3 linked regions of the Nothobranchius furzeri genome follow. The protein of the gene in region 2 purifies or fractionates together with the protein of the main gene of each other region. This does not show direct contact. Links are inferred from orthologs where the notes say so. Each region holds a gene or a part of one and is shown on either strand. Other genes may lie near its edges.

Evidence for each region.
Region 1: the proteins of limk2 (region 2) and cdc37 purify together in Homo sapiens (affinity purification with mass spectrometry; 3 studies listed by BioGRID and IntAct, with this or other methods). This does not show direct contact. The link is inferred for Nothobranchius furzeri from reciprocal best matches to the Homo sapiens genes LIMK2 and CDC37.
Region 3: the proteins of limk2 (region 2) and ttc1 purify together in Homo sapiens (affinity purification with mass spectrometry; 3 studies listed by BioGRID and IntAct, counting the BioPlex papers as one, with this or other methods). This does not show direct contact. The link is inferred for Nothobranchius furzeri from reciprocal best matches to the Homo sapiens genes LIMK2 and TTC1.

What each region holds. Positions count from the first base shown.
Region 1 is NC_091745.1:3,427,946-3,435,642, reverse strand, and holds the start of cdc37 (hsp90 co-chaperone Cdc37), read right to left. Parts: upstream 5,169-7,697; 5' UTR 5,154-5,168; coding exon 5,152-5,153; exon of another isoform or gene 5,146-5,151; intron 4,382-5,145; exon of another isoform or gene 4,321-4,381; intron 2,762-4,320; exon of another isoform or gene 2,520-2,761; coding exon 2,411-2,519; intron 2,174-2,410; coding exon 1,898-2,173; intron 1,486-1,897; coding exon 1,380-1,485; intron 1,291-1,379; coding exon 1,175-1,290; intron 1,079-1,174; coding exon 956-1,078; intron 792-955; coding exon 609-791; intron 1-608. Other genes in the region: cmc4 (cx9C motif-containing protein 4), read right to left, coding at 5,169-5,305, 5,384-5,441; uncharacterized protein, read right to left, coding at 6,313-6,320, 6,392-6,646, 6,725-7,057, 7,137-7,403, 7,672-7,697. UniProt on the Homo sapiens protein: Co-chaperone that binds to numerous kinases and promotes their interaction with the Hsp90 complex, resulting in stabilization and promotion of their activity. Inhibits HSP90AA1 ATPase activity.
Region 2 is NC_091757.1:45,913,223-45,921,171, reverse strand, and holds the start of limk2 (LIM domain kinase 2), read right to left. Parts: upstream 4,208-7,949; 5' UTR 4,041-4,207; coding exon 4,025-4,040; intron 3,839-4,024; coding exon 3,748-3,838; intron 1-3,747. UniProt on the Homo sapiens protein: Serine/threonine-protein kinase that plays an essential role in the regulation of actin filament dynamics. Acts downstream of several Rho family GTPase signal transduction pathways.
Region 3 is NC_091750.1:27,431,691-27,438,874, forward strand, and holds part of ttc1 (tetratricopeptide repeat protein 1), read left to right. Parts: intron 1-2,120; coding exon 2,121-2,233; intron 2,234-7,184.

The sequences.
Region 1 (7,697 bases), on a different chromosome or scaffold from region 2:
TATTTACAAAGCGCCAAATCATGACAAGAATTGTCTCAAGGCATTTCACATTGTAAACATTCCAATACAGGTCAGTTCATTAAACCAATCAGTAAAAAGTTTCCTATATAAGGAACCCTGCAAATTGCATCAAGTCACTGACTAGTGTCAGAGTCTTTACAGCATGTTCACCCCCTCTGCAGTAAGAGCGTGTAGCTCCTCAGTTTAACTGATACTGGCATGATCCTGGTACACAATAACACCAATGCAATATTCAGTGTGTGTTCAATACTTGTGCAATACCTGATTCACATTAGCATGTGTGTGTCCCCTATGCTGCAACGTTCTGGAAACCCAAGTTTCTTTTCATTTGTTGTTTTTAGTGGTTGAAGGTTAGCTTACTGCCTCTGTGTGTTTACCTGTAATCTTATTACTTTTCTACTTCCTGTTCTCTAAGTGGATGTGTTGCTGTAGTACGTTCATTTCCCCACTGTGGAATTAATAAACTCTATTCTATCTGAATGTCCTTCCCATCAAATCATTTCTGCATCTCATATAATTAAAAACACTCTGTATTACAACGCAGGTAAAACAGCGACATCAGAAATATGGTTAACACATTCACTTACAGGTGGAAGGGACTCGTACACCTCCGCGGGGTCTAGTCCCCCAGGACCCATGCGTTTCTGTCGTTCTTCTTCTTCATACTCTTTAATGGCCTTTTCGATGCGGATCTTGGCTCTTCCACGGACTCGCTCCTTGAATGACTCCAGCTCATCGTTGAAAGCATCCTGGTACTGCTGGTCTGCTGTCTGGGTGAATAAACATACAAGAAAAGTAACATGAAAGCACTTCCAACATGGAGTGTTTTCAGAAACTTCATCAAAACAAACAAGAATAGATATAATTTTACTTTTTAAAAAAGTATCCCCTTAAAAACGTATGTAATACAAAAGTCCAAACACGTAATAATTACCTTGATCTTTGCAAAAAACTGGCGAAAGCAACCACGGGGGTCCAGTTTGAGGCTTTTGGCCAACTCAAGAATGAACTGCATAACGATGGTCTGATGAGCCACCTGTTCCATCAGAGCATGTTTCTGCAAAACGAAGAGGCACAGAGGCTCATGTTCTAATCAGACAGTGACCATGTAAGACATACAATAGTAGCACGAGATTTCTTTTAAGCTGTTTACCTCCTCAACTTCAAGGTCAATACACATGATGACAAGGTAGTTGGCAGTTTCTTCACATACAAGATGAGGATTGTCAGAGAGGTACTTCTGGCTGTCATCCCAGCGTCGCAGCATGCCTGAGGTTACCACAGCGACAAATCAGCATCTCTATTTTTACTGTCCTACTGATTTGCTCATTTTAATCATGGTTGTCAGGCGGGCTTACCAAAATGTTTGAGCTGCTTTTCGTTCTTCTCCACAAAAGTTTTATGTTTTTGCTCCTTCTCCTCTTCTGTCTCTTCAGAAGGGTCTGGTTTGACGTTAACAATGCTCTAATGAAGACAAACAAAACACCGTTAATAGATGACGACTGCATTCAAATGCATTTTATTGCATCGTTCTGTAAGTTAACGGCATGTTAGAATGTTGTATATAAGCTCTAAATATTCAAAAATAACACACTTCATATAAACCTTGATTATGTTTATTTACAATTAAAGGATGATTTTAGTTTGTATTTTCAGGAGATTGTATACAAGCTACTCCCAACAAAAAAATGACCAACATTCATGCTGAGCATCAAACTAGACTGATTTTAAACATGAAATTGGGGGAAAAAAATATTGCCATCAAACCGCTGAGACAACTATTGATTATAAATTGACAGGTCTGCCAACATTGATACCAGTGGATGCAAACCAATACTTTCTATTTCGCAGTAAGCTGTTGCCTGATCCTAGTCACCTTGCTGAAACCATCTCTGCTGAGTGTGTCCACGTTCCACGGCATCTTCTTCTCCTCTCTGTTGTATTCATCCAACTTCCTCTCCCAATCTCTCTCCTCCTTTTTCAATTTCTTCTCCTCAGCCTGGACTTTGCTCAGCTCTGCTTTGGCCTCACCCGACACATTTAGCTCTTGCAGTTTCTTTTGCGTCTCAGTCAGCTTGCGCCGACATTCTTTCAGGCTCTTGTTGATGTCTTCTCCTTTTTTCTGGAACTCTTCCATTCGATCCACACGTGCCTGAAATGGGATGATGCCAATCACAACTGGAGGTACAAAACTTTTACAATACACTTTGTTACAAGTTTTGTAGGCTTAGTAATTCACTACAGCTACATAAACAGGTTTGCTAGGAATTAGCATAGGGAGAATGTTGTTTGCAACACCAAACTGAGTCTAGGACGCCAGCTAACCAAAGTACCAGTCCGAAGTTAAAAGAAAATCAAAACTCAGTCACGTTATAAATCAAAAAGGTACCTGGTGTCTCCATCTGAAGAGGCTGGGTGTGTCAATGTTTGGGTGGGTATCATCTTCATCGTCCGAGACCTCAATGTGATCCCACACGCTGTAATCTATCCTGGACATCCTGTAAACCAGAACCTAGCTTGTTTTAAGAGTTCGATAATTTCAATTAAAACTCTCGGAAAAACAAATTCAACAACACTCTGACGCTTTCCAAAGTCTCCGAAAGATGTGTTAACTACCAACGGCGCATTAGACTGTAGTCTTATCAGAAGGGAAGGAGCTGGACTGTCTCAGCGACAGTTAGCCAAATGCTGCTACAAAATTCTAGAAAGATTCGCTGCTGCAAGCTTCCGCTACACGCCTAAACGTCATGACGTAAAAGGCACGTATGACGCAGGTGTTGTGGTAAAAAATGCACTCGTATGTGCCTGCGACCGTATGTTAAACTTACTAGAAAAACCAAGTTTTTCACAAACGCACCCCGTTAATAAACAAGTAAAGATGTATGAGTTAAAGTTCGGTTTCGAACAAAGTCTGTTTGACACAAATGCCTATACGAACAGAGGGGCTTTTTCCGGCACAACACCATGAGTTACAAAAGTGAACTGAACAGATTTCCTTCATTTCTTTCTTCGTATTTTTACTGTAGTTACTCAGATTTCTAAACAACCGAAATATCGTTTCCACTATATAGATACCATTTGTGTAGCCTACATAAAAACCATAATGTCTGATCGTGTACCAATCCATCCTTATCCTCATATTATTGCATATAGTTAAACCTGGTTAGCAGCAGATTAGTCAGAATGTTAGTCTGTTGTACAGATTATAAAAGTATTTACATCACAACTATTTTTGTAGTTTCTTTACAAGACGTGACTTCTTTTTCTCCACATTTGTGCTTTGACTTTCTTTTATTTATTAACTTATTATTGTATGCTAAACTGAAAGTACTATAAAATATCAAGTATCTTACACAATTATTTTTCAGCTAATCTAAACATTTCTGTAAAACTTAAAAAAGCAAACTGTTTTTCTCTACCGAATAAAACTATCTTCTTGGACTTTTCCCCCTTGTCAAACATCCACAGACTGAGGCTGTTTTCTCAGCGAGACATCTTACCTTCTTTACTGGACCAAGAACAGAGGCTGAGAGGTCTTGATGATGGTATAGTGTTCAGCTTTTTTTTTTTTTTTTTTTTTCATTTTATTTTTTGTTATTCTTTGGATGGAAAAACCACAAGTAAATGTTTAGATATAAACTAGCAAACGCTTCTCAAGAAACAATAATTAGAGCTGACCCTGAAAGCTGACTGGAGATCCAAACAAGCCAGTATTCAGTATGGCGTCTTAACCAGTGATCATCCAAATACCAAAAATCTGATTGATTTTTCATTAAACATAAACAGCCCAAAATAGTAGTATCAGCTCAGCAGGTCAGGGTTGAAAAAGAAATCTGCATGTTGGCCCTTAAATCCAGAATCAGCTCATCTCTGGAATTGTTAAATTTTCTCTTGTTTCGTTTGCTTTCAGCCCTTCATCCACCCAACATGGACATTCTTATAAGTGCCAGTAAGCATTTTGTTGGACACATTCAATTAGAATAAATCTAAATGATTTCAAGAGTTTGAAACTGGTAATCTCAATGTTTGCACTGTGAAGATGGAACCTCGACGTGATCAATAATTTATTAATGGATGACTTTTGCAATGAATTTTAGTATTTTGTTAGCAATGGTCAGTTTTAAAATAGTATGTGTAATAATAATAGAATAATTGCTCTCTTTATCAATCTGTTTAGGAAGCTTCTAAAGAAGTAATGACTGAAGGATGAAAGTTGGTGTTAGGATGGTGTAATATGGAACATATTATTGCCACACATGAGATTGTTTTTAGAAATTAAATGTTTCTGAAAATACTTACAGTGTGTTCTATATGTGCATTACTCACAAGCATGATGATAAAAAAACCTATTTTTACAGACCTGAACAGGGACATGAAAACACACACAAATAGACAAAAATATAGATCAGTTAAATGTTTTACCTGGTGATCGTGAATCGTCACGTTTACATTAACCCAGAGCTCTGAGCAGAATAAACACGAGGAGAGCTGGGACCACTTTAATATAAATATCAGGAGTTTAGTTTGGGTCTGCCACCAGAATCACAGTCAAGATGTCTACTATCAGTCTTTTAATGTATTTGTTTCTGTAAGCAAGCATATTTATAACAGTCTCACGCATGGACGTAATTTTCACTTTAGAAGTGGGGGGGACACGGGTGTGTGTGTGTGTGGGGGGGGGGGGGGGTATCTTTACAGTATGCTCTAATGGGAAACAGGCTTCAACACAAACAGTTGTTTTCCACTTGGTCCTAGAGCTCAACCAGTGTGAATTTAATATAGCGTAAAATTGTTTTTGGATGGTAAAAAGTGCAGGGGTCAAAACTTGACTTTGGAAAAAGTGGGGGGGACATGTCCCCCTGACCCCCCCCCCCCCCCCCCCCAAAATTACGTCCATGGTCTCACGTGATCTTCAGCTCACTGGCATGCAAAGATTCGATCATTTTAACACGATCAGAGGGCGGTGGACATAACCTGGTTGTAGTTAATCACACTGCCAGGGAGGAGTGTTATCTTAAAGCTTTACACGTTTACACGTCCAGTGTTAAGTTTAGTGTGTACTTTTATGATAATTATTATGATACATGTAATAATGAATACATTCCAACGGTAAATGCCAAACACACTGACATTTGATTGAGATGTTTTTATGCGTTGCTCTTGTTCCCCGTTGGTTTGGACTCCCTAAACCCGGAGCAGCAGATGGATTTCCCGGCCTGAGCTTCACAGCACCGCCGCATCTCTCGGATCACATTCTCACACAAACTCTCCGAGTAGTTGTTGGCTGCAGGAGTGGAACGGAGTTATGTGACTGTGGGGTTCGCCCGCTGTCTAGCAGCATTTTCATCTACATTTAATGTACCTTGCAGACACTTTTGAATAGCACATGCCTGTTTTTGACACGGATCTTTCTCCGGCATGCCTGAAAGAAAACGCAGCAATAGTGTAATCAAATTTTAAAGCATCAGGATACCCAAAAGGAGCTAAAAGCCGATTCCCACCTGGACGTCTTAGCTAGTGCGATGCATTCTCCTCTCGCGAGAGTGATCATGTGACGCAACGAGATCTAATCAAATCCGGACAATGAACAACAGCGACCTCTGGTGTTGCAAAGGAATTTGACAACGTCGCCTTGAAAACCTAAATGTAATTCCAAAATGTTTTGCAGTAACCGAACATAAAATGTATTTATAGAATAATTTTGAATATTTTTTTCATTAACTAACCTTCAGAAAGTATAAATTTACATTTTAAAGAAGCCATAATCTTTTGGTGGGAGGTATTTTTCACAAGTACGGAAATTTTGTTTATTTATTTACATTACTCAGAACTGGCACTAATAACTATCAAAATACACGTTTAAAAATCAAACCATAAAAAGAATTTTTTGTTTATTTAACTTTATTTATAAAGATAAGAACATTTAGAAACAGTTCATATTTACAGTAACTTCACATTGTTAGTCATTGGCGTATCAAGGGTAGTTATACTTTGTCAAATTATGATTTTCTTTACTTATTAGATCATTAAAAATATTCTAGTACATATATAATAAGGGAAATTTTATTACATAAAACAACAACAGTAGACTACGACAAAAATCAACCTTCACATAATAAATGGCGTTTGCTAAACATCTTCATTTGTCTTCTTTGTGAGATCTAACTCTGTATGATAACAGAATACATCAAAACATCCACTGATTACTGAATGCTTCCATCTCATGAGGCAGCAGCAATAAAACCTGCTCAGTGAAATTCTTCCAGCTGATTCAAGTCCTGTTAGTGGGCCTTAAACACCTGAACAACAGAAAACAAATTAGGATGCAGAGTTTTACTTGCAGATGTAGTTCCTCATACTTCCCCTTTACCTTTGGTCTTTGCTTTGACAATGAACTGTTTGCTCTTCTTTTCCAGCGTGTTTGAGGCAGCACAGGTGTATGTCCCAGGGAGAAGGGAGGAGGAGGTGATGACTGCTTCCTCCTTCACCCGCTCCTCTATGGGATGGGAGGATTGCCAGCTGTAGGCAGGAGCAGGGTTTCCTGCAGCTGTGCAGTTTAGGGTGATCCCATCACCCTCGGTAAGTTCTAAAACTTCTGTTTCAGGACTGAAAAAAGTTGGGGGAACTAAAAAAAAAAAAGAATGACAGACTTTACGTTTCATTATTGGGACATTTTAGGAGTGAAAGTAGCTTCATAACTCACAGAGGACATAGGCAGTGAGAGGTTCTGAAGACACTGTTGGAGGTGGTTGAGGTCCTTCTGGTCCAAGCTCCAGTTCTGCTACACACTTATACTCTGCCTCGTTCTCAGCTTTGGTTGGTGTGATGACAAGAGTAGAAGACACTTGGACAGGAGAGGAAGATGTGAGGTCAGAGAAGGAGTGTTTGTACACCTCTGTCTGACCTCTGTACCACCTCAGGGTGAGATACTGAACAGGAGCAACGTTCTGAACCTCACAGAGGAGCTGGTACTCCTTCCCCTCCATCATGGGGCCGGTGTGGTTCACCAACCTGATGGAAACACTGTCGGGAGATTCTGAAATGAAGGGGATCAAAAGTTCAGCTCAAACATTCAGCTCTGTCATGAAATTTAAAAATGAGAGGGACTGACTCACTATAGAGAACGAGGTTGAGTTTCTCCTCACACTGTCTCGGAGCTTTGAAAAACACCCCATAGCAGATGGGTTCCTCGATCCAGTCGATAAGACTGTCCACTTTCCACTGGACAGACTGGTCCTCCTGTGTGTGTGGCGTTCCGATGGCCGATTCCCAGCCCAGGACCCGAACCGGGCGTGTAGCTTCACAGCTGACCGACACCGACTCCCCAAACCCCACCACCACCCTGGAGGGCTTGAGAATGAGGGAGCAACCTTCACCTGACACTGAGGCACACGGGGACTCGTGAGCAAGGATTGGTATGGCTAAGCCAGTCAGAGATGCAATAAAACAACTTTTCACTGTTCAGATCAAGCCTGTTCAGTAGCAAAATGACTCATAACCAAACATGTTATGGTGTTCAGATTTTAATCCACAACATGCTAAAATAATCTAAAGTACTTCCCTCTGAAGTTGCAGCTCATTATGGATCCTTTAGTCCACAGATCAGTTTAAAAGTTTCTGAACCCAAATAAATAAAACACCTCATCTTACCTGAACAAAGCAGGCAGGAAATGATA
Region 2 (7,949 bases):
ATCACAAGCAAGACAAATGGAACCCTCATTTCTGAGATGAATAAAGAATAAATGAACACCCTATTGGAATAAACGTGCTATGCTCCACATCCGTTGCAGCAAACCCAGTTCCAAACAACGGATGATTCAATTCCTTTCTTAGGAACAAACTTCCCCCACTTTCACCAGTGGCCATGGAGTCACTTGCTGTTGTTGTTTCGTGTACGTGCTGTGACGTTGTTGTCATGGTTATGTAAAACTAACGCTACGGAAGCTCCCGGGGGCCAAAAAGGCATTATTACATACATTTTTTGTAATCGCCCGCAACAAAATTGTCATATTAATTCATTAAATCAATTTATCGCCCATTTTAAACCCATTTACTTTTACTTGAGTGTAAACTAGTAAACGTCTGTGGAAAAGCATCTGAGTATGTGGAAGATTCGCCCCTCACATTTTTTCCCACTTTTGATATTATTTGTCAGATCAGAAAACACAACCTCTTCTGATTATAAGGGCCCAGTCCATAGGTTAATCTCTGGACGTAATAAAAGTGTAAAGAATATACCATCTATATTCCGCTACATTTATATTCATATTTGTTTTAATTTTAAAAGGATTAGTTTGTTATTAAGGGAAATAAACCCGCTCTAAGTGGAAAAAAAATAACCCTAAACTTTTATCTTCTCAAAAATCTTGGAGAATCAACCTTTTTTTTTCTGGTAAATATGTGATGGTCTTGTATTCTTTTTACCTCTCCTCATCTTTCTTATGGTAGAATAGAATCATGACCTCTGGCCTTAACCAGAATCAGGTGAGGTCTGCTTTTTTAGAAGTGATGAGTTGCTTTTTGAAATCTTTTAGCCTCCTTCGTGAAGATTTCCTTATTTTCCAGGCCTGGGTGTGGCTCGGGCTTTCCAAGTAGCGGTTAATCTCAGTTAATTCACAATCTACCAAGTGGAACAATTACTGTTAACAAAGAGCCCAATCAGTTTGGATAGCTCTTTATGCTTGATAAATTAAACCATCATCTGAAAACTGAATTTTGTAATTACTCTTGTTACATGTATTTATTTATTTATCTTATATTTTTCTTCCCAGGAGGATAAACTGCTTGAGATGTGGCATCTCGTTTTCGAGCAGGTCCTCCTACCATACAACAAGTAAAGAATAAGAAGGCAAAGTCGTTAAACCATAACAAACTAAGAGAGAAAATAAATAAATAAAAATAATAATAACACTTGCTGTGGCTTACCCCATGTATCTGTAGGCATACTTGTATCATTAACAAATAAAAATTTAATAATAGAAAAACAACATAAATTGAGTGCAGCTACGATATTAAACACAATAGGCAATACAATTACAAGTTGGCTTCACATGCTCATAAATGAAATTACAAAATAAACGAAAAGATGAAATAGATCTTAAGTTAGCAGGTAATGTATTCCAGTCCCGAGGAGCTTTAACACAGAAGGCATATCTCCCAACTTCTTTTTTAACCCGAGGTATAACAAATGAGGGATGCTCACTAAAACGGGTAAAATACAAAGCGTTGATAGGTACTAACAAGACTTTCAAATAAGATGGAAAATCAAAATGAATACAGTTCAAAACAATTGATAGATGTATATAATGTTCTTAAGCACCGGTTAACCTTGTGACAAATCGTTTGAATATGATATCTGAAGGACGGCTCCGGCTTCAACCAAACACCTAAATATTTTATTTTGTCAGATGTGTATACAAGAGAGGAATCTATAAAATGTAGTTTGAGAGTCCAATCAGCACCAGATTTAATAGCACTTCTACTAAAAAGAATGGAGTAGGATTTAGATTTATCTAAAATAAGTTTATTTTGGACTAACCAGTTCTGCACTATGTTAAAATTAGACAGAAGAATTTCCTGTGTTTCCACTTTACTCGGCTTAGAGCAGTATAATACAGTATCATCAGCGTACATGTGAAAAGAACAAGAGGTACAACACAGTGGCAAATCATTAATAAAAATAGATTATAATAATAATAATGGCCCCAATGAAGAGCCTTGCGGAACACCCCTAAAGACACCTCGCGGATTTGATTCAAACCTATTAAAAGAGACAAATTGAGATTGATTAGGAAGAAAAGAGTTAAATCACAATAATGATAACCTTGAGAGTCCAATGGCAAACAAGTTGTCTAAAAGCAAATAATGGTCAACTAAATCAAAGGCTTTTGTTAAATCAAGAAAGATAGCTCCTGCAATTAAATTAATATCAAAACCTGAATAAATGTCATTGGTAAATTTAAGCAAGGCAGTTGTTGTAAAGAAATATTTTCTAAATCCTGATTGGCATTGAGATAATAGATTATTAGTATCCAAATAATTTGATAATTGATTAAATACAAATTTTTCTAAAACTTTTACCACTGTGTTAACTGTCGCAATAAGTCTGTAATTATTAAGTTCAAAAGTATCATTCCCTTTATGCAGTGGAATGATTTTAGTACATTTCCAATCTATCAGGACAGAACACGAGTTGATAGAAAGATTAAAAATAATTGACAAAGGAAGGGCCAGAGCATCAGCAGCAATTCTAAAAAAAATCGACCTTCAATACCATCGGGACCAGCTGAATTGCCTGATGAAAGAGTCTTTAACACTTTCAAAACCTCATTTGGGTGAATTTCAGAAAAGGAAAAACGGCTTGAGCAGCGATGAGGCAAAGTGTAAGAACCCAGTTGAACTGAAGAGTTAGGTAAAGGAGATAAAGCACAATGTTTACTAAAGGCCTCAGCAATTACATCCGGATCACTAGAAACGCTACCATTAATTTTCATATTATTAGTTTTAGCTTTAGTCTTCCCACGTAATTCATTTATTTTATTCCAGAAATGCATAGGATTGTTAAAGTCCTTATGTAAATAGTTTTTGTAATAATTAGCCTTAGCATTTCTTGTCTGTGTAGTACAAATGTTTCTTAGTTTTTTTATATTCAGACCAATGATCAGGAAGATTAGTGCGTTTAGCTAGTTTCCAGGCTCTATCACACTTCTTTAAAAAAGCAATTAATTCTTGAGAGACCCAAGACAAATGACTGCCCTTAACTTTTACACTGACCCAAGGAGCATGTTAATCAAGAACCTGCAGAAACTCAAAACGAAAACATTTCCAGGCATTGTCAACATCTGGTATTAAAGACAATCTGTCCCAGTTTAGCGATCTTAACTCCTGCAAATAGTGATCAGTATTAAAAACATGCAAATCACGAATTTTAATAATCTTCGAAGGTGTATGTGGAATAGTTATTTTCCAAAAGCAATAAATAATAGAATGATCACTAAAACAGTTGGCAAGAACCCCAAAGTCACAAAATCTATACGGGTGTGTAACTAAAATCCAGTCAATTAGGGAAAACATTTGATGTTGGAAACATTAAAGTGTGATTAAAATAAAGGTAAACTAAGCAGAAATCTAGCATGCAGCTGTGCGTGGAGCAGTGACCTGAGAACGTCTCCTCTATGGAAATCATTAAACCTCAGCTCACAGGGACAAAGTTCTCTCAGACCATCCAGCAGGCAAATAAACGGAAAATAGCGCAGAAAGCTGTCTGCTGCAGGGGTTACGAGCTGTATCCTGGGTAGATGGGATGCACAAAGACTGAATGTTCTGTGCTCGTCCACACTAATAATAATAAAAGCCAACATGTATTATTTTTTAAAATACTAAGTCAAGTCTGGTCAGGCCAGACCCGTGCCAAAAGCTTCTAACCCGAGATTACTTACTGGAAGCAGGCGTTGTGCCAGGTATCCTGGAGGACCTTCATGTGAAACGAGTCTTGGATTTTTCCTCCACAACCCGCACAGAAACAATTATCTGAAAACACACATCAGTCTTCATTAACCTAGACCAAAATTATATATATATATATATATATATATATATATATATATATATATATATATATATATATAGTGTTTAAAATTCCTCCCAGTGACTGAACTAAGATATAAAACAGAACATTTTATCATAAAGTCAAGTAAAAGCTAAAACACGTCTCACCTTCTGGCTCCTCCATCTATTCTCCAAGAGCGTCGTCGTGATTTGTTTATTGTAACTTTTTTGGGGGGGAGGGGGGGGTTCTTCTAGAAACCTCTCATTCTGAAGCTTCGAGCTTCCAGTTTTCAAAAACCTCCCTGCTCTTTGTTACACGGAGAAGAAAACTGGAATTCCTTAAAATCTCGACACAACAAAACGAACCGCGGCTGCAGCTGAGAGACTGAGCAGCAGCCTTCCCACCGCTGGTGACGTAATGCAGCGGACACATTCCAGTACGGAAAGCGGAAAGGCTCAAACGCACCTGGAAGCAGGACAAAAAAAGCCAAAACGGAGCGGTACTCGCGCCATCTACTGGCGGAGTGATTATACTACACTAGCAGCGATTCCAAATTGCTGTGTGCTCTGAAAAACAAAGCATGTACGTGACAATTGTAATTCAGTCTGGCAGCACAAACATACAAACAAACATAATAAGTTTTATCTTCATAATTAAAGAGAACAGTTCCTGTTTTCATTGTGTTTTCTCTTCCTACACGCTTGTTTTTAAGGTCTTGTGAGCTAAATAAAGTAAAGAAATGTTGATTAAACTCACCCTTATCCTATCAAGTTAAATTTTGGCCTTTTTGTTATTCTTACTTTTTGCAGTGTACACCGGATAAAAACACGAGAGCCTAAACTGTCTTTTTTTTATTTGACTTCACAGACAGATTCATTGGACCTTTTGTATTTTGATTTAAATGACTGTGACCCCAGGCTTTTATTTTGGAAAGAATGCGCTCCGTTGCAGATGTTCCACCAGACTGAGTCAGACTAAATCAAAGAGGTTTTGCACCTGACTGTGGTCAGTGGCTATTAAAGATGGTCAGATTAGCAACCTTTCCCCTAAAGCTCAGTATGATTGACAGATCACCTCTAACCAATTGATCCATTTATTATAAGAACATCTTCTTATAATAGTCTGCAATGGAGGTGGGATCTGAGAACCCAAAGTCACTTTCTGAAGACAAAGATTGTGTTTTGCAACCTTTAGATGGCAAAGTGATTCCTGACAGCATCACAGAGCCAGAGGGTCAGAGACCCACCTGGAGGGGGCAGATGGAGTTCATCCTGGCCTCGGTGGGATACGCGGTTGGACTGGGAAGCGTCTGGAGGTTTTTCTTACCTCTGCTACAACAGCAGTGAAGGTGAGACTGTCAAAGATCAGAGGAATCGTAGTCAGACAGACTGAAAGCAACATAAACCTTCTGTTCGTGCATCTCAATAATGAAAAAATTAAAAAGCTGCAACCATCCTTCAATGTTTTCTGGGGGTTTAGGAAAACTTGGGTACCACGCTCTGGTGTCTTGACCTGTTGCAACACATAAAACCCATTATGGTTCCCAATAGCCTAAATATATACAAATACAAAAAGGTAGCAAACAAACATAAACAATAGAAATGCAAATATGTGGACAAATACAATGTCCTGTGAAATCTATTGAAAACTATTTCAGAGCTTGTTTTCCATCTAAGTTTTCAAACTCAGTATAATTGGAAATAGTGCATTCTGGAAAGAAAAGATGAAACATGAGTACATGCATTTGGTGAAAAACAGACTGAAGAAAAATGAAAAGGTTTTCCTTAGCCTCTTACTGATTAAGACACTTTTTTAAAAATAAAAACAACGTCCACAAAAGTGGGCAAGTTTTTAAAATGCAAGAAAAAGTTAAATCTGCCAGTTATTAATTCTTGGTTTAAAAACAGAAGGAAGTGTTTTTTCAGTATTTTTACTGATCAACGCTGGAAAAAAATGCTTAACAAATCATGAATTTACAGTTAAGGGAGAAAAGACAATGTTGGAAAATTTGAAAGGCAACTCAAGGGTGAAACTTTCTCAGTGTTTAGGAGCCTTTATTGTCCCTTACCTCATCATGGTGTTCCTGTGTGGTATTCCTCTGTTCTTTATGGAGTTCGCTGTTGGACAGTATCATTTAGGACCGGTGCACTTTATTGCTAAAATCTGCCCCCTGCTAAAAGGTGAGTGGCTCTGAAGTCAACAAACATAACTCTGACCAAATCAAACAAGAGTCCAGCCATCAAAAGTCACCAATAAAAGGAATAACCTGAAGATGATTTTACCCAAAGTTTCTCCATTCATTTTCCTTTGCTCATCCGGGGTCTGATCTCGGGGACAGCAGCGTAAGCAGAGAGGCTCAGACTTCCCTCTCCCCAGCCACTTGGGCCAGTTCCTCTGGGGGAATCCCAAGGTGTTCCCTGGCCAGCCAAAAAACAGTCACTCCAGTGTGTCCTGGGTCTTCCATTGTCTCCTCCTTGTTGGACATGCCTGGAAAACCTCACCAGGGAGGCACCTAGAGGCATCCTAACCAGATGCCGAGACACTTCAACTGGCTTCTCTCAATATGCTTATTTGATGTAAGTGGTAATGGTGTCCATTCTTCCTAATATTTCCAGTTACAAGCTCCTGCAGAAGACCAGAGGCATTGAGGAAACGGGGGGTCTTCGCTGGGAATTGTTTGGAAGAAGGAATTCTTTTAGCCTGGGTCATCGTTTATTTGTGTATATTCAAAGGAGCCATATCAACTGGGAAGGTTATAACAGTATACAGTATCGGTCTCAGGATTATTCTTGTCTACACTGACAGCTCACACACCAATTGTCGACTTTTGTTTCCTTGTTATTTGTAGGTTGTGTACTTCACTGCAGTTTTCCCGTACTTCGTTCTGATCGCCCTGCTTTTCAATAATATGCTGCTGCCTGGAGCCAAGGAGGGCATCCTTTATTTTGTGACACCTGTTTGGAGCAAACAGTTTGAGGAGAAGGTGAGAATTGCTTAATAAAAGAGCAACATTTTTAAAAAGTTGTACACACACACACACACACTCATGAGAGGAGGGCGCTAGCACAGATCCGAGTATCCACAGACTCACGACTCTCTCTGAACATTCACATCCGCATTGAGTTTAGGCAACACATTCTCACACCTGAAGCATTGACAAATGAAGCTGGGTGACTAAGCGTTTGTGTTCGACGCGTTGGGAGTCCCATTGCGTCGGGAGGCGACGCGCTGTGCCAGAGCGTTGTTTTCCGACTGCCGAGGTAAAATGGGGATTTCACCAAATTCTGACCTTTACCCTCTTGTGCCTTAAAAACTTTGTTTCTAGTTTTAACGCCCCTCTCCAACACGGTTAACGAGAAGTTTGGAATGAGCAACAGGGTTAAGGTTAGGTTGGGGGTGAGGGGAAGGTTAAGTAGCAAGAGGTTAGAGGTTAGATGTCGGCGAAATGTGCGTTTTACCGCGGGCGTCGGAAACAAACACTTGGCCACCCAGCGTCATTTGTTGACACTTCGGGTGAGAGAATGTGTTGGTTTAGGAGGACATCAGAGTTAGCAAACAAAAAATCAAACCCATCTCAGGCTAAAACAAGGGAGTGATTGGGGCATCAGCACAGGTCTGGGCCTTCCTTTGCTTCTTCTTCTTTAAAATTGGCAGGTTGGATGCCAGTAAGGCATATTGTTGCCACAGCAACATCAACACAATGAATTTCCTGGGTTACAGTCTCTGGTACACCTCTATTTGCAGGAAGCCCAGCAGTGCCCTCACCCTACGCCAGTCCTCCACTCCAAAAAGGTCCTCAAACAGAACACGTCACACCAGCAGTCCCCAAGACTTTGAACAAAGCACTTCTCTCTGCAGCATACCTCCTGCAGTGCACGAGGACGTGACCCATCGTTTCCAGAGTCACAGTTATAATCCGAGTGCCTCCCAACCTAAACCAACCCGCCCCAAAGACTATGACCCAACCTTAACCGGGTCAAGACCCCAGAATCCCTCCTACCACAAGCGAACCCCATTCATGTTAGACCCTACAGTAACCCTTTCATCCGAGGAAGCCTGCCACAACCTCACAACCCCCCAATCGAGCTCAGA
Region 3 (7,184 bases), on a different chromosome or scaffold from region 2:
CAAGCCTCTGATTGGTGGGTAGAATCAGCCCACATGGGCTTAAGGCAAGGATGTGTGGAATCAACCGGGCCAGGCTGGGGCCGGCTGGGGCTACCCGGCCCGGGCCGACCCGGTACAGATGGCAATGGCCCATAAGTCGCTGGTACCAGTAAGCTCAGGCTGGCTTGGGGAACTTTCAAATGTCCGACCATGACAGGGGCCTGTCTGTGATGCCTTCCCAGCTTCCCTGCCGGCTCTGAGACACTGCTTTGACGTTAAGGCACTCATGCTCCGTCCTTGTTATTTCCACCACCACCATAGCTTTTCGGTCTTCTTTGGAGGCCTTAGACCAGAAGAGGAATGCCTCACCACTTCCGAGGCCTTCCCGCCCTCCTGGACTCTGCCAACCACCTCACGGCGTTCCAACCAGCTGATTGCTGTATCAACCTCTTCCGGGTCTTGCCACTTCCTCCTTGTTCGTATCTGGGGGCCAGCTGCTCTCACCAGTTGGGTCTGCGGACTCCCTCAGCTCCAGCACCAGCCGGGCCTTTTCCTGCTTACATCCCAAACTTATAGATCTATTTAATACTAATTTGATAAACTGTTAAACATCACACCTTTCTGAGTTACTTAGAAAGTCTAAAACACACCAGGTCATGTTTCATCAGAGTCCATTTGTGGCACCTTCCTACCGGGTGGGTGGGCTATATTATAGATCTACCAAATACAAAATCCCACCCAAGGATTACACCAGGTAAATTGAGAGCGTCTGCCAGAGATCAAAGGAATCAGCCATTAACCACCGCACCGGGGTTTATTGAAAATTCTAATTAAAACATCATTTAAAAAAACCAGGTTAGGACAGTCACTATAAACGGTTGTCAGAACTGGGCCGGAGAGTCTGCAGCCTTATCTGGACGCTGCGGGGCAGATTCCTCCTCCTTGGGGACGCTTGTCTGCCGCGCGGGTTTCCTCTTCCCTGATAGCTCGCCTCCTCCTTCAAGACGCGCGTCTGCCGCACCGCCGTTTCCCTCGATCGGCCGCTTCCTCCTGCAGATCAGTCACTGGCTCGGCCGCGTCACCGCGCCACGCTGTCGTCCTCCTCTGTCGCGGGTCCACCTGTCAGTGAATTTAACGGCAGTCACTGCTCGATCACACACCGCGGGTCACACCTTGTCACAGGGCCGCTACTCACACGCCAGGGCAAAGGAATACCCTGCCCACATCTCCATGAAGCCTCGTCACAGACGATCGGTGTCCTTTCACCCGGCGATTCTCTGCTTTCTGCCACCGTCTCCACCAAAAAACAGACGCTCCTAATCTGCCACCGGTGCAGATAATTGCTCCGGTCCGGATGTCATCTGTCCAAGCTCATCAAAGTAAAATCACACACCCTCCCAGTTTCCTGGGTTCCCCAAAATAAAAGCATTCCATGCACTAAACTAAATAAAAAAGAATACACACTAAAAACACACCACACTAGAAGGAAAACCACAATAAAACAGACTTTGCCCGTATGACACATTCATTGTCTCATTTAACATCACTGTGAATCACCATTCATAATCATTTACCTTTCATCATCATTGATGATAGAAAAATAGAAATAAATTGATTTCTACAAACTATAATTTTTGCTTCTGTGTCAAATGATTACAAAGGTGTGGTTTCCCTGAACTATGCAAAAGACCTGGTTTTATCTTAAATGTCAAAAGATCAATAATAATGATAAATCATATTTATATGGAATATCACATCTTTTTGATCATTCATTAAACGTAACCACTTACTATCGTTACCCCTAGATTGTGCAGTGTCTCTGTATATGTCTGTGTGTGTAGACCTCCACTGTACTTTCTAGTTGTAATACTCGTGCTTGACCAAACTTGAGATGTTTACTTTTGGTATGAGAGGTTGTCATGACTACCCTGTGTTGTTTGTGTTTATTGCAGTACCACAAAACCCTATGTTGCTTGTACTGATTTGTGGTGTGTTTATAAATAAGCTCATGTGTGGTGGTTTAACTTTGGTTTGGCAAGATAAGGGCCCCGGAAAGGCATCTTGCATAGGGCCCTCACAAAGCTAAGAACAGCTCTAGTCTTGTCCAACAAACCAGGATGATCCTGTTTCTGTTCCTGCAGACTGGAGGGGAGCGGAGCTAAGCTACACAGAGGCGTTGGCTTTATGTCCTGTTTGTTTCAGTCGAGAGAGAGCCGTGTTGTTCTCCAACAGAGCTGCTGCAAAACTGCACCAGGTAGGATATTGCTAAAACTCTTCTAAGGAGCTAGCCCAAGGCTCCGCCCCCTCTGGTTGGCTCATGGGACCCTGAACGGAGCTATATAAGTTTTTATTGACTCCACTTTGCCGTATGCCAGGGGTCAGCAACCTTCTCCCATCAGAGAGCCATTGTTACCCATTTCCCACAGTAAGCCACAGCAGCCGCAGCGTTGTGGGTGGGCTTACCGAGCCTGGGCCCACCCACCTGCACTCAGGCCCTCCGTAAGCTGCTGTAGGCAAGGTAGCTTTACTTATAGAGCACATTTCAAACACTGGGAAATCCAAAGTGCTTTACAGTTATCATGAAATGGCACAACAACAAACACGAGAACACAAATTAAAAATATATACAGACAAAATTATAATTTAGAGCTAAAAGGAAAAGACAGAATTAAGAGGGTATCCGCGGGTCCTTAAAAAGTCTTAAATTTCCTTTTCCAAATTTAAGGCCTTGAAAATCCTTAAAAATGACAAATAATCCTTAAATACAGTTTCCAAAGGTCTTAAATTACCAAAGACCCAATGAACTAGATTATTTTATTTCTATGACATTTTCGTGAATTTCTATTTAGTCTTCAGCATTTTTTGTGTATGATGTTGGCGTAAGCGGAACCGTACACATTCAGTTGGTTGTGAAAAGGGACTATTTTTAGATGAGCACATTAGCTGGTTAAGCTAGTGGGAGCTTGCGCCATGGAGAAGTGCAAGTTTAATGGTAAATGGATGGTTAATCCCACGTTCGCGACGTGGTTAGCACCGGTTCCAGGCAATAGCTGGAAATTATAGCTTAAATTTAATTTAAAAAATAGCTTAAATTTGGATCCGGATCGAAAGGAGTCAGTTGAGGTGGTTTGGGCATCTGGTCAGGATGCCTCCTGGACACCTCCCTGGGGAGGTGTTTCGGGCATGTCCTGCTGGCAGGAGGCCCCCAGGTCGACCCAGGACACGTTGGAGAGGTTATTTCACCAATCTGGTCCGGGAACGCCTTGGAGTCCTGCCGGAGGAACTGGTGGAGGTGGCCGGGGAGAGCACGATCTGGTGCTCCCTAGTTGGTATGCTGCCCCCGTGACCCTGACCTGGATAAGCGGAGGAAGACGACAACGAGCTTAAATTTGGTCTAAGTGGCCTTAAAAAAGGTCTTAAAAAGTCTTAAATTTGGCTCCCTTAAACCTGCAGATACCCTGATTAAGGGTGAGCAATGACATCACAGATTACAGAGGAGACGACGCAGCAGAAGAAACCATTCATGTAAAGGCTGATGAGGGTTTTAGTTGTGTTTTAAACAACACTAGGGCTGGGGCAGATCTGAGGTCATGGGGCAGCTGATTCCATATGTGAGCAGCATAGAAACTAAATGCATCTCCTCCCTGTTTGGTTCTGACCCGAGGTTCTACCAGCTGATCATTTCCTCTCAGAGCCCTGCTGGGTGTTTATACAGGAACGAGATCAGACATGTATTCTGGTCCCATGCCATTGAGTGATTTATAAACTAGTAGGAGCACTTTGGTCTATTCTGTAGTTCACTGGTAACCAGTGTAGGGATCTAAGAACAGGAGTGATGTGCTTAGTTCTCTTAGGCCTAGTCCACACGTAGCCGGGGTTTTTAAAAAACGAATATCCGCCCCTCCAAAAACTTGCATCCACACCACCACGTTTAAAAAACAAACTCTGTCCACACGTACCCGGATAAATACGTTGTTAAGGACATGCCAGACCTGTAGGCGGCAGTACTTCCCCCGTTCTTAACCTCGTCCTTCGTCTGTGGTCTTCCGCAAGGAGCAGTAATTCCGCTTGCAAAAACAAACAAGCAGAAAGCGCTTGGACAATTGATGGATCGGGTAGTGACAGAGCGCAGCTCTGAGGGCATCCATGCTGTCGGCTAGTGTAAACACAGGCCGCACACGTGATGTCAGCATTTTTTTGTCGCGGAAAGTGACGTTGCGGACCTTAAAACTCCGGTTTTGTCCGTCCACACGCAGACACCCAAAACGGAGAAAACGCAGATCTTCACTTTGGCCGGAGTTTTTTAAAAGATCCGTTTTCGTGTGAAAAAACTCCGTTTTCGTGTGGATGACAGGCCAAAACGTAGAAAACTATCTACGTTTTGGCAGATCCCCGGCTACGTGTGGACAGGGCCTCAGTTCTTGTTGAGACTCTAGCAGCAGCGTTCTGAACAAGCTGCAGTTGCTCCACAGCTTTTTTGGGACGACCAGTTACGAGACCATTGCAGTAGTCCAGCCCACTAGAAATAAAAGCATGAATGATTTTCTCTAAGTCTGGTCTGGACACGAGACCTCTGACTCTCGATGTTTGATGAAGGTGATAAACGCTGATTTAGTTATAGCCTTAATGTGTCCAGAGAAGCTCAGGTCCGAGTCAATGACAACACCAAGATTTCTAACCTGGGTGTTTTACTTTAACCAATAACAAAAGATGACAGCAACCAAAAGCTGCCACTCATGTACGTCAAAGTTATCTTTTAACAGAAGATAATTAATAAAACTATTTGTATAAAATGAATCCAGAAGTTGTAGCCTGTCTGTACCTACAATACTTTGATATTTTTCATCGTTAGTGATTTAAATAGTTGAGCAAGTGCCGATTTGTTTTACCACATCACATGTTTCTATTTGAACCGTGTTTAAACTGTTCAGAATACAAATCCAGGCTCGTTGGATTGTTGTGTAACGCTGGAAACAGCCAACAAGGGTATTTGTCCAGAGAAATGTCAGAGGTCAAATAGACAGTCGGGTGTCCTGCAGCGTTCCTCGGCTAGGAACGTTGTGTTCTTCCCTGTACCTAAATCATTCCATGCTGAACCATCAGCACCATCCAGAAGGTAGCCATTACAAGTTCCTCCTCCTGACTCCCTAATCTTAGCTGCACCTCCAAGGTCCATGCAGAAGACGAGACTTTTACTCCTTTTAATAAAATGATTCTTAGTTTGGTCTAAAAAAAAAGATTTCTTTCAATCCACATGTTTACAATCGTATTCTCTGTTATCTACAATCAATGTGCTATCTAATGTGATTTAAAGATTAATTCATTAATCAACATACATGTTTATTATTTCATGACCTATTTCAGATCTTAAATACACTAAGTGAGTCTACTTGATGATTTAATAATGATTAATGATCAGTTACATTCACATAATAATATCAGTGTATTAATAAATGAATGTTTAACAGATTTATTTCACATTAAGTGGAACCAGCCTCTTCTGAGTGGCTGATCGTCGAGGTAAACACCTAGACACACATCTCAGATCTGGTAGGTCAAAGTTTATAAACAACCAATTCATTCAAAGTGAATCACTTCCTACGTTCCCAGTTCCAGCCAGAGCTTTCAGTTCATCCAAAGCTTACAGCTCGTGCTAAATGACCATGCTATGGGGAACCAACCAGACCTTTCAGCGCAGTGATTTTAGCGGCTCAAAGAACCATCATGATTAAACTTTGCACTGAACCAAACTTTACATTTTGGATCGTTTTCAACATAGTTATGTTGAAAACGATCCGACCCATTAGTTTTTTCCTTCATTTACAGTGACGGAGATAAAGGCGCATGGCTCTTGTTTGCTGTTTGTTTGCAGCAGTCTTCATAAGAAGAAAGAGTAGTTAAATGAAAGGGTTCGTTTTGACCAGATATTTACTGTATTTGACTGTTTATTTTGATGGAGATAGAATAGAAAGAATTACCCCAACGCGTGCAGATGCGCTGACATTTAAATTGTAACACACATCGCGGAGGTAGCTAAATCAATCAAGAAAAGATTCCCATCAGAACATCCGAGCTGGACACTGCTCTTCACAGCAAGCTGAAGATGTGGAGACGGACATGGAGCATATCGCAGAACCATACGGGAAGATTCCTCCCACTGAAGCGAGTGTTGTCCAAGCCCTGTCTCTCAGAGAGACGTGTCACTTAGAAAATGTTCCTGATGGTTAAACTTTGGCTGAATAGCGCTTGTTCCTGTCTCCAATGTGGTGACGCATCCACGAGCCTGTCTGAGGAAAAGTCCAGAACTTCATATCCTCTTCAGCTCAGAAAGCTCCTACAGAGACATCTGATCACACACAATGTGTTCTTGATGAACTCGACACCCTGCTCTCCTCCATTCCTGAGCACGACTGTCCCACATTGGTCCTTGGAGACATGAGTATTCACCTGGACAATCCCAGCTCATCAGGCTTCCTGTCATTAATGTCATCATTTGATCTAAAACTAGTACAAAGCCCTCCAACTCACAAAGCTGGAAAAGCACTTGACCTCATTTTCACCAGAAACTGTGCCATAGACACAATCTCTGTCACACCGCTGCATCTTTCCGATCATTACTTCATCCATTTCAGCACGACTCTACAAGGGAGGTCCACTGCTTCCTCCCCAATAGTCTCATTCTGCCGCAACCTCCGCAATCTGGCACCCAACCACTTCTCCTCTCTTGTTGCCTCCACTCTTTCATCTCCCAGCACATTCTCTGCTTATGAAGTGAATGATGCCACAGAATCACTCTGCTCTATACTCTACTCTTTTCTTAACAACTTGTGCCCTTTGGCCACTAGACCTGCTAGATCCTCTCAGTCACACCCTTGGCTAAATGATGCCCTCCGGTCTCTACGCACCAATCTTAGAGCCGCGGAATGGATATGGCGCAAAACAAAAGATCCTGGTGATCAACTGAAATTTCATGAATTACTGTCCTCATTCTCTGCCAGCATCACTGATGCAAAGAAAGGTTTCTTCACTGACAAAATTCTCAGCTCTACTAACTCTCAGAAACTATTTTCGACATTCAAAACTCTGCTCAACCTTCCTTCTCCACCTCCTACCAACAATCTATCCGCTGACACCTTTGCCTCATTCTTCACTGACAAATTGGCAGCTATAAGCAAACAGTTTACTCAACTGGCCACTCCTGAACA